Oryza sativa Japonica Group: one gene and its partners. The main gene of each other region encodes a partner of the protein of the gene in region 2 in a complex. Links are inferred from orthologs where the notes say so. Each region holds a gene or a part of one and is shown on either strand. Other genes may lie near its edges.

What was found. Proteins that work in one complex are often made in the same cells at the same time.
Region 1: photosynthetic NDH subunit of lumenal location 3, chloroplastic (region 2) and photosynthetic NDH subunit of subcomplex B 4, chloroplastic share a complex: the UniProt entries of both Arabidopsis thaliana proteins name them as parts of the chloroplast NDH complex. The link is inferred for Oryza sativa Japonica Group from reciprocal best matches to the Arabidopsis thaliana genes PnsL3 and PnsB4.
Region 3: photosynthetic NDH subunit of lumenal location 3, chloroplastic (region 2) and photosynthetic NDH subunit of lumenal location 4, chloroplastic share a complex: the UniProt entries of both Arabidopsis thaliana proteins name them as parts of the chloroplast NDH complex. The link is inferred for Oryza sativa Japonica Group from reciprocal best matches to the Arabidopsis thaliana genes PnsL3 and PnsL4.

Annotation. Positions count from the first base shown.
Region 1 is NC_089036.1:31,696,111-31,699,360, reverse strand, and holds photosynthetic NDH subunit of subcomplex B 4, chloroplastic, read right to left. Parts: upstream 1,995-3,250; 5' UTR 1,889-1,994; coding exon 1,799-1,888; intron 1,695-1,798; coding exon 1,650-1,694; intron 1,556-1,649; coding exon 1,402-1,555; intron 1,308-1,401; coding exon 1,252-1,307; intron 1,163-1,251; coding exon 1,091-1,162; intron 944-1,090; coding exon 815-943; 3' UTR 508-814; downstream 1-507. UniProt on the Arabidopsis thaliana protein: NDH shuttles electrons from NAD(P)H:plastoquinone, via FMN and iron-sulfur (Fe-S) centers, to quinones in the photosynthetic chain and possibly in a chloroplast respiratory chain.
Region 2 is NC_089041.1:312,205-315,232, forward strand, and holds photosynthetic NDH subunit of lumenal location 3, chloroplastic, read left to right. Parts: upstream 1-1,461; 5' UTR 1,462-1,535; coding exon 1,536-1,803; intron 1,804-1,939; coding exon 1,940-2,340; 3' UTR 2,341-2,521; downstream 2,522-3,028. Other genes in the region: kinesin-like protein KIN-14N, read right to left, coding at 2,837-3,004. UniProt on the Arabidopsis thaliana protein: NDH shuttles electrons from NAD(P)H:plastoquinone, via FMN and iron-sulfur (Fe-S) centers, to quinones in the photosynthetic chain and possibly in a chloroplast respiratory chain.
Region 3 is NC_089036.1:32,085,076-32,088,934, reverse strand, and holds photosynthetic NDH subunit of lumenal location 4, chloroplastic, read right to left. Parts: upstream 2,402-3,859; 5' UTR 2,327-2,401; coding exon 1,925-2,326; intron 1,691-1,924; coding exon 1,598-1,690; intron 1,492-1,597; coding exon 1,431-1,491; intron 1,303-1,430; coding exon 1,234-1,302; intron 1,056-1,233; coding exon 988-1,055; 3' UTR 936-987; intron 826-935; 3' UTR 508-825; downstream 1-507. UniProt on the Arabidopsis thaliana protein: NDH shuttles electrons from NAD(P)H:plastoquinone, via FMN and iron-sulfur (Fe-S) centers, to quinones in the photosynthetic chain and possibly in a chloroplast respiratory chain.

The DNA of each region.
Region 1 (3,250 bases), on a different chromosome or scaffold from region 2:
CAAGCCTGTCGAGAGACCTGTGTCGAAATAACTATTGTTAGTCTCTGATGACTGATGAGCTGATCGACGGAATACTACGAAGTTCTGCACCCTATACAAGTAGTATATACATGTGCTACCTACTGTGGTAGTGTGGTCTGTACTGTACGTTGAGTGCAGACTGATTGCTGCTGGTTCGCGGCCTGTAGTGGAGCAGCTCAAGTATGATCAGCGGTTCTTCTTCCTCGATCGAATGGCCGTGGCCGACGATGGCGTCCAATTCCCAGCGCGCGACCACCAGCGCAAGCAGGCCGAACTAACGGAGTTTTTTGGGCCAGTCCATCACCGAGCGGCCCGGTAAAGGTAGCCCATAATCGCTACCATTCTGTACTGGACCCAAATAAAGTTGGCCCGACACCGTGAGAGCCGACAGAACGAAAGCATATTGGATCGCCACAATTTGGTTGCGATCTGACAAAACTTCCGTCTCCACAGGGCACGTATATCCACCATGGTGTAGGTCTATATCAGTCGATTTACACAATTTATATATTTTGGAAGCAATATCCACCATGGTGAACGGTACAGGTTCTTTGATTAACATGGAGTAGTACATTCCTTCTTTTAGCCTACACTACAAATGCAATATAATGCATTCATGCAGACGGAGCACCTATTTGCTTTCCTTTTGAGTCTGATGCCAACATTTACAGGCGCTATCAGGCAACTGTGTATCTTGCTATTACACAGCCGCTCTGTACGGTATTACAGAATGCAGCCGCATCGCGCCATGATCATGCAGTCATCCATCCATGCGCAATCTCTCATTCATCCATCAGTTTGTAAGCTGCTCCTCCTTGGCTGCTTCCTCGAGTTCTCTGAGCCCTCCGACCCTCTGCTCGATCTCCTCGAGTAGCTCCTCCCTCAGGAGCTCCTCTCTTGCAGACGCCTCCAGGTCCTCTTGCTGCAGAATCAACCATGGGAGAGTGGAGATCGATCAGCAAAATGACTGGTTATCTTAGTAGCTTCGCACAACTAGAGTTTGTCTAATTGTCTGAATGTTCTTTCTTCGTGATAAAGGAAAAAAAAAAAGCCGTAATGAAAGACATACCCGGTCATAGTACCAGTGCACGGTGCCGTCACCCCCTTGTCCCCTGTACGCCTCACTGTCGTAGAAAGGATCCTGTAAATTCACACAAGACCGTGTCAGTAACACATATCGAAGATGTAATTTCGTTCCAAGTTGTAGTGGCATATGTTCTGCGTGCTTGCCTTCATGGACGCAAAGAAGCAGATGCCCCAGACTGTGAAGAAGGCGTAGAAGGTATCTACGAGACAGACAGAGAAATTTTTTTGTGAAAAGTTTCAGTTTCAGACGTAACAACAAACTGCAGGAAAGGTGAAACGACGACGACGACTCACAGACGCTCTTGAGGGCGGCGTCGCTGAGATGCCAGATCGACTTGTGCACGACGTAGTCCCTCTGCAGGTCGACGTGCTCCACCATCGTCACCATCAGCGTCACCACGTCCAACGGGGACGCGTTCGCCTTCACTGAACCCCTCCCGGCCGATTTCTGCAAACGCTAAGACCGCATTACTTTGCCTCACCAATCACCACGGATTTCTTCTTTCTCGGTGAAAAAATTAAAATGCACTGGGACCTTTCACCTTGCAACGGCTGGAGTTGGACCTCGGGTCATGGAATCCACCGAGCTGCAAATTTAACAACAACATTTGAACAAGTAGGTGAAATTCGCAAGGAATTCAGGAAAGCAGTTTTTGCATGAACGCGAAGGGGAGAATGGACGGTGCGGTACCGTTGCACGGCAGCGGCCATGGAGCTGGGCTCTGTTCGCGGAGTGAAGAGCAGAGAAGTGGGGGGACGACTTGAGCAGCGGCAACGCCATTGCTGGTAGGCTGCTGCTTCAGTAGCGGGTTGGCGATGAGCTTGTTGTTGTCAGTGTAGCGGGCTCACGTTTGGCTCAGGGGTGAAACCTGTAACCTGTAATCTGTATGGAAAATTTTAGTGGATAAGGTCAGACTTTTGGGTGGCCAACCATTGTCTGATCTTGGGCAGACGAAAAGCACAAGAATTTTGGGCTTGGTTGAAGCGGGCTTGAGCGTTGCTAGGCCTTGCCCGGTCAAGGTCATGTTTGGGCCGGATGGGATTAGGTTGACCCGTGGGCTCGTGGCCCGTTACGTGCATCCGTCCGCCATTTCTTGGAGGGCGCTACGGCTTGGCGTCCGGCATCTCACCAAAAATCGGACGCCCATGCAGGCATGTGAGAACGAACCCTGTCACTGTAACGTATGTGTCTAACTGCTTCTTTTCATTCTTTTCTCCTCTCTTTAGATATTTTTTATCCTAAATTACTTATCCAATTTACGATCCGATCACACCGTTCTATTCGTTGCAATTAAATCTTTACAATGAGATATCACATGATTATATTATGTCAAAAGAAAAACATGTATTTCAAAACGTTAAAACAAAATGTTTCGTACGTGATAGTGATATGTTTCAATATGTGTCATCGGTGTGTTTCACAAAATTCATGAAACTAACTGCTACTACTCTCTCTCCTCTCTCTCCACCTCATCCATGCACACATGTATGTATTTTAGCAAGCTTCAAAATAATTTTTCTCTTAAATTACTTATCCAATTTATGATCCGATCACACCATTATATTTGTTCTAATTAAATCTTTACAATAAAATATCACATGATTTTATTTTGATAAAAGAAAAATATATGTTTCAATTCGTTAATACTTGTTGTTTCATATGTGCCAGCGACATGTTTCAACGTGTATTTTCACCATGTTTCATAAAATACTTAAATGTTTCGGTTGTTGATTTTTTTTGTTTCACCATATATAACATAATGTTTCACTTGCTGGTCAACGCTCACCCCCGCACTGCCGCGCGCATACGCATGCATGTAGGCCGCCCATGCTGCATTGTTCACGTGCCACGTTGCTTGCCTCCCCTGTATGTGTTGCTTGCGCTGCTGCTTGCATACGCTCCCTCCCTCTCCCTTCTATTATTACATGTGCCTAATTTTTTCCTCAAATTTTAAATATTTTTTTCTCCAAAATTATATATTCTGATCTAAATTTCAATGATACCATTAGATTCATCATCATTAAATCTTTATAACAAGATCTCACATGGTTATATTTTGATAAAAATATACATGTGTCTCAAAAAATAACTTGTCTCACCATTGATAGAAAACTGTTTCATCACATGTACACAAATATTACA
Region 2 (3,028 bases):
TTTTATATTAAAAAAACACGCCATTTAGCAGTTTGAAAAAGCGTGCGCGTAAAATGGGCATCGAACATAGCTTAAGTCTATTTTGCCTCCTTCCACTATTGCGTTGTGCTGAATCGCATCCTCCAAATTCGAAACAGTTACAAATCGATTTCTTCTATTGTTGCAAAGTTTCTACTCACGGGGTAGTTAACCATGGTCAAACTTGTTGACGTGTACAAATGGAATCACATGTAGGGATAGATATCGAGTTGACTCGGCTCGGCTCATCAACAAGCTCGAGCTAGCTCGTTAAGCTCACGAGCTAGGGGCAAGAGACATAGCCGGCGAGCATAGGAAGCAGCTCAACCTCGCCTGCACTTCAAGTCTGCAACTAGGGGAGGAGGGGAGGAGCTTGACGGCGGAGAAAACGAGCTCGAGCTTGAGCTCGACGGCGACTACAGAGAGGAGCTCGATGGTGGAGGGGATGAACTCAACCTTCACAGCTCCGCCGACACTTGGACAGTTCACGGTTGGACCACGAGGAGGAGGCGAGCTCGACGGCGGGCACTGGGGGAGAGGCGGAGAGCGGCGGCGGCAGGCGCTCGATGGGGGTTGGCGGCGGCGGCTTGGCGCGGTGGCGATGGCGCTCACACGGCGGCGTGGCGCAGCGCCGATGGCGATGGCCGAGATGCGGATGCCGAGATGCACCGAGCGCCCAAGCCGCTGATGCGATGCGAATGCGATATGTGCGAGACGGTGGTGGACAGGGAGTCAGGGTCTCAGGCTGAGGTGAACTAGGGTTTTTTTTGATGAGTCTATTGGGCCAATGGGCCATAATGTATGTGTGCTGTTAGCTGTGGACCTGACTTGGCCTGGTAACCCCATAGCTCGTTAAGGCTCGCGAGCAGCTCGAGCTGGCTCGTTATCTCTAACGAGCTAAGATGCCAGCTCGGCTCGTTAGGAAATTCAAACGAGACAAGCCAAGTCGAGCCTGTCACGAGCCGAGTGAGCTAACGAACCACAAGCTTTCTGTCCACCCCTAACCACATGTAAATGCCTTGGTTTGCACCAGATTGAGAGGAGGAAGAGAGAAGATTGAGAAGATACACAAAACGAGGTGAGACATTAGCACATGATTAATTGAGTATAAACTATTTTAAACTTAAAAAATTGATTAATATGATTTTTTAAAGCAACTTTCGTATAGAAAATTTTTACAAACACACCGTTTAGTATTCGGGAAGTGTGTGCGTGGAAAACGAAACAAACTAACTCAAAATCACTGAATCACCTCCTGCAGAATAAGAAGATGGTGGAGGCATTATACCAGGTTTAGCGGTTAAGAGAGACGATTCAATCAAGAGCGAGAGAGGAGGGAGGCAAGTTAGACTAATTCCTTCATGCAGCCATTCTGTCGGCCCCTAGGAGAGGCAGCCCCATCAAACCGAGAGAAATATCTATGTGGTGCACTTTTGCAAAGGCGAAGGTTTTCCTCATCCTCTCGTGGCATCGCGCGCTATCCATTCATTCCCTTGCTACACTGACACACATCCTCGATGGCCACTTATCTCCAATCAGCAGGCCTCACCGCCGCCACTGCCAGCACCAGCCGCCTCCTCCGGCCAACACCACGGAGGCTGCTCCTCCTCGTGGCGGCGTGCTCCACTGGCGGACGGAGATCAGCCTGCCTCTCCGTCGGCCTCGCAGCCGCCGCCGCCACCATCTTCCAGCATCATCCCGCCTGCGCCGCCACCGACGACGAGCCGGCAAACAATGGGTGGTGGCTCACCGAGTTCCCTTTGCCGGTGCCAAAGATTGTCAACAGTGAGTAGTAAATTAATTACCATTACACACACAAAATATATAAATATAGTGATTGCAATATATATATATATATATATATATATATATATATATATATATATATATATATATATATATATATATATTGTGTGTGCAGAGGAGCTGAACAATGGCGAGACGGGGAGCCGGACGTTCGTGAGGAACGGCATCTACATAGCCGACATCGGGCCGAGCTACGCGGCGCACGCGTACAGGCTGCGGAGCACGGCGTTCGACCTGCTGGCGCTGGAGGACCTGCTGGGCAACAACGCCGACAGGGCCAACTACGTCACCAAGTACCTCCGCCTCAAGTCCACCTTCATGTACTTCGACTTCGACAAGCTCATCTCCGCCGCCTCCGACGACCAGCGCCCCCCGCTGCTCGACCTCGCCACCCGCCTCTTCGACAGCTTCGAGCGCCTCCAGAAGGCCTGCGGCACCAAGGACGACACCCAGATCGGCTCCTCCTATGCCGACACCAAGATCATCCTCCAGGAGGTCATGGCAAAGATGGCCTAGTGTTTCTGTTGGTGTACTAGCTAGTACTGTATTTCTCTCACTTTACTTGTCATACATACATATATATATATATATATATATATCCTCCTCATCACACACATATTCATATTCACATCTACGCTATGCAATATAACTTCATACTCAGTAAGTACTAAAAAGCAACAGAGCATTTCAATTCCAATTACTTGTCTGTCTTTATCATCCAAACAAAGCCAGCCCAACACAACACAGGGCACTTCTCCAATAAAATACAACCAACCTCACATCTTGTTACTACCACTGCACATTGATGCAGCCACAAATTAGATACTACAGTACTATCTGTAATGTAATGCAATGCGATGCTCGTACAATCAACAAAGCCACATGCCAAATCAGAATATTATACACACCCTCTAAGCAACCAACACACGGAGGGGATGCAAATGATCCATTGCATCCCTCAAACAACACACAAATACAATTAGTCATGGACATTCATTTTGTCCAAGCCAACTCATCCTTGCGCCAAGCTACGCACTTGGGTTTGACGACGAGGGATGCCAATCTCGCACGAGTTCACCCGTGCTGCGAACCGTAGCGAGCAAATTGACTCCCCTGTAGACGACACCTCTGGAGACAGATTCACAAACATAAGTGTCTTCGAGTCTCCTCCAAGGCATGGCTGTGTCCAAGGGGAACAAAATCA
Region 3 (3,859 bases), on a different chromosome or scaffold from region 2:
CATGAGGAATTTCATGACACCGAGCAGCATTCAGAGCATCTGACGAAAAAGGTTTTCGTTTTAAACCGACAAGAAGCTTTTGGAATTCTTGAGTCTTCCTGCCACGGAAATGGCAGCTCTCCTTTTCTTCCCTCATTCACCTACCAGTTCTGGCTCTGAACCGGTCAATCGATAGTTCAACTCTCACGATTTGGGTGTTCTTTGGTTTCATAAAAGGATTTTAGGATATTCTCTGAAGTCTGAACAATGCATGTTTCGATTTGATGGTTAACAAACCTATGATTAAATTATCTTGTGGCAATACTGCAGTGCAGACAGCAGTCAAAGGCTCAAAGCTACTACTGCACATGTGCTTTGACACGAACTTTCGACATTTTTTTGAGTACATTAGTATTGATACAGTCGATTAGCTTGCTTGAACTGTTGAAGGTTTGGAAGTCACCAGTCAATCGATATTCAGTCAGAGTTCAACTTCATTTAGTTAGGACTTGCCACAAAGGATGGGAATTTTTGTTGTGTTTGGCTGTACCAATGACAGTATGAATAATGAGACATGTCTTTACAACGTTATACTTACACAAACACAAGACTTTTCTTCTCTAGAAAACATAAGACCAATTTGATAGTATATCAGAGGACCGGTTTGTTATATATCCTTTCACTTCTTGGTACAGATTGCAAATGTAGTACTCTGCGTATTGGAGACCCAAGGAGCTCCGGTGACGCATTTGCTTTCGGCGTCTGGGCTTAGGCATGTCGCACCCTTTCTCTTCATCTGTCCGTAGTCCCGCCTCTTGTATGAAACGCCAAAATTTACTCGAAAATCTGCCAGAGAATGTAACATGCTTATGTAACAAACAACAACCCCTTTAGGCAAGGGATACTGTTTTCAGATGAAAAAAAAATCAGACAGGTTCAGAATACCACCACCATACCTTGTTTGCACCTAGTCTGTTCAAGTCATGCATATTCCTTTTCATCATATGCTCACTTGTAAAATCCAACCAGGAAGATGTCGTATAGGAGTGTGGTGTTGCCGGGAATATTACAGTCTCCTGTTAAATAAGTAAATCTTCTGTAAATTTGTATATTTTTTCTAGCGAATGCTAATAAGGGAGCCAGACAGATAGCACTGAAACATCGTTAAATACATGAAACTTAATCTGGTCTCAAATTTCTAGAATTAAATTAAGATTACTTGTTTGATTACTTTTTTTTTTCTTTCGTTATTACCTGAGAAGCAACCTGCTGGTTCAGGTCCGTATGCCAAAGTTGCAGGTATCATAAGCTTGCGCTTTCCACCTGTAATGTTATTGCGATTTTCAACAGAGACACGATGTGATTAAGAAAAATAAAAGCAGTACTATATTTTTAGCATTTGACACACAAAGAGATGCATATGCTTATTATTTCTGGATTTCTGACAGTACCAACGAGCATGGGTGGCACACCACCGCCACCACTGATTCCCTGTTCAAGCCCTCGGAGGATCTGAGAATGAAAATGCGAACGAACCAAACAATAAGATTCCTTGCATAACTACATAAGATGCTTGCTACGATCGAAGATGTACGTGCAATGAACAAAAGCTGCGCACCTTGCCTGCGCCAAGGCGCATTGTCAGTGGCCGTCCTCGCTTGTAGGTGCTGTCGAACACTATCCCGTCAGTAAATCTTGCAGTGTAGTGTACCTTACAACCATGAACACAACTCCAATTAACACACTTGAAACTCCTATCAGTGTCATGGCGAGAAAAAAATGGCAGGTTTATTCGTTGTCGAACTAACTAAAGGATCGGTACTGATGCAAATTGGGCAAATTTATGATCTGCCAATGCTTAATTACTCCATACAGGAGTTAATCATATTCAGAAAACACAGGTTCTTCTAGAGAAAGTGCGAGAAACTCTTCTGTCGGAACTGACATTTATGAGCTGGCCGCGCGGGGGCTGGGCGCCGGTGCCGACTTCGACGTCGCAGTAGCCGAGCCCCGACTTGACGACGTTCATGTCGCACAGCTTGTCCCCCACCGTCGCGTAGTACTCGATGCGCGTCGCTCCGGCGTCGCCGGCGGGGCACAGAAGCCCAGGGGAAGCCAGGAACCCCGCGCCCAGCGCGAGCAGCCCCCTCCTGCCGGCCGACGTCGCCACCGGGAGACTCCAGGCAGCCGAGCACGAGGTCGACGACGGGGAGGAGGAGGAGGAGCTGCTGCTGCTGTTGCTGCACGCCGCGACGGTGAGCGGCCTGCCCGGTTTGGCGACCGGAGGCGACGGGATTGGGTTGGAGGCCATGAGCGAGAGGGAGGAGGAGATAGGAGGAGGCGCCATCGGTGAGTGAGTCACTTGGGGAGTAGAGAATCGGATTATCCCCAAACTGTGGCTGCTGCAACGCGGGCACCTCTCTGTCGCGTCGTTATAAACGCCCGCGTACGTCGTCACGGGCCATGGGCTTTCCCAACTCAACACCCGAGGACCGAGGAAGGAATCCTCGTTTTTTTTGCGGGCCAAGCCGCGTGTCTCGTCGCCAAACGGCGGCCGTGGCCCGTGGAACGACAGATGATTCCAGGAAAAAGTACACCGAAGGTCCCTCAACTTGTCATCGAGTTACAAAATCGTTTCCCAACCGCAAAACCAGATATCAGGCGTTCCTCAACTAACAAAACCGTTCACTTTAGATCCTTCGGTGGTTTTGACCCCGGTTTTATTTGACGTGACGGCTGAGTCAGCGCGTGGGTCCCACATGTAAGATGCCATATCATCACCTCTCTCTTATTTCCCATTTTCCCCTCCTCTCCCTCCCTCTCTCTCTTCTCAGGGCGGCCAGCGGGTGCGGATTGCGGAGGAGGCTGGTAGGGCAGCTGGCGACGGGTGGCGATGTGGCAACTTGGTGCGGCACCGACGAGGATGGGGTTGGCCTGCAGCCAGAACGCCGCCATCCCCCACAGCTCCCGCAGCGAGCGTATGCTAAGAGGGAGGAGGCGGGGAGGCCGGCAGCGAGTGCATACGAAGAGGGAGGAGGCGGGGAGGGGTTGGAGGTGGGATGAGGGCGAGCTCGCCGGCCTCCCCGCCCCCCTCGCCAGACCTGCTGTAGCGCCCGTTCCGTCGTGGCGCCTAGCGGGGAAATTATCTCTTAAAAACCCTAATTGCGAAATTTGTTTCTTTGCTTGTTGTCTAGTATCCGTGCCATCTCAAGATCTCAATCCCCGATCTATCGTCGAGTTCAATTCCGAATCCAATCCCTCCAAATCAAATTCCTCCGCAAAAGTCCATTTTGCCTCCCCCAGGGTCGATGGGCCGATTTTCCCTCGGCCCATCTTCCCCTCTCTCTCCCGGCTCTCTCTCTCGCTTTCCCCGGCGCGCCCCCGCTCTCTCCCTCTCTCCCTCCGCTCCGCCCCGCGCCGCGCGCGCGAGCGCGCGTCGCCGCGCCGAGCGCCCCTCCCTCGCGCGCCACGCGCGAGCGCGAGAGCCGCGCCCTGCGCCCCTCCGCTCGGCCCCGCGAGCCAGCACGCGTAAGCCGCCCGCGCCGAGCCAAGTCCTCCCTCACCGCTCCCTCGCTGCCGCTTCCCGCGCGCTGTGTTCGCGTGCGCGCGCCCGCGCGGACGCCGCCCGTTGCAAGCCGCGCGCGCGTGCCGAGTGGTCGACCGCCCGGTCGCCGCCGCCGTCAGCCTCTGCACGCGCCTGTCGCCAATGTCGCCGCTCCGCTCCAAGCCGTCCCCCCGTCATCGTCGTCGTCATCGCCCGGCCCCCGCCACTCCGCGCGCAAGCCGCCAAGGGACGGAGCCGCGCCCCTCCTCCCTCTGCCGCGACGCTCCCGCTCCCCTTCCCCTTTTTCCCGAATCGGCAAAGGGGCAAGCCCCTTTC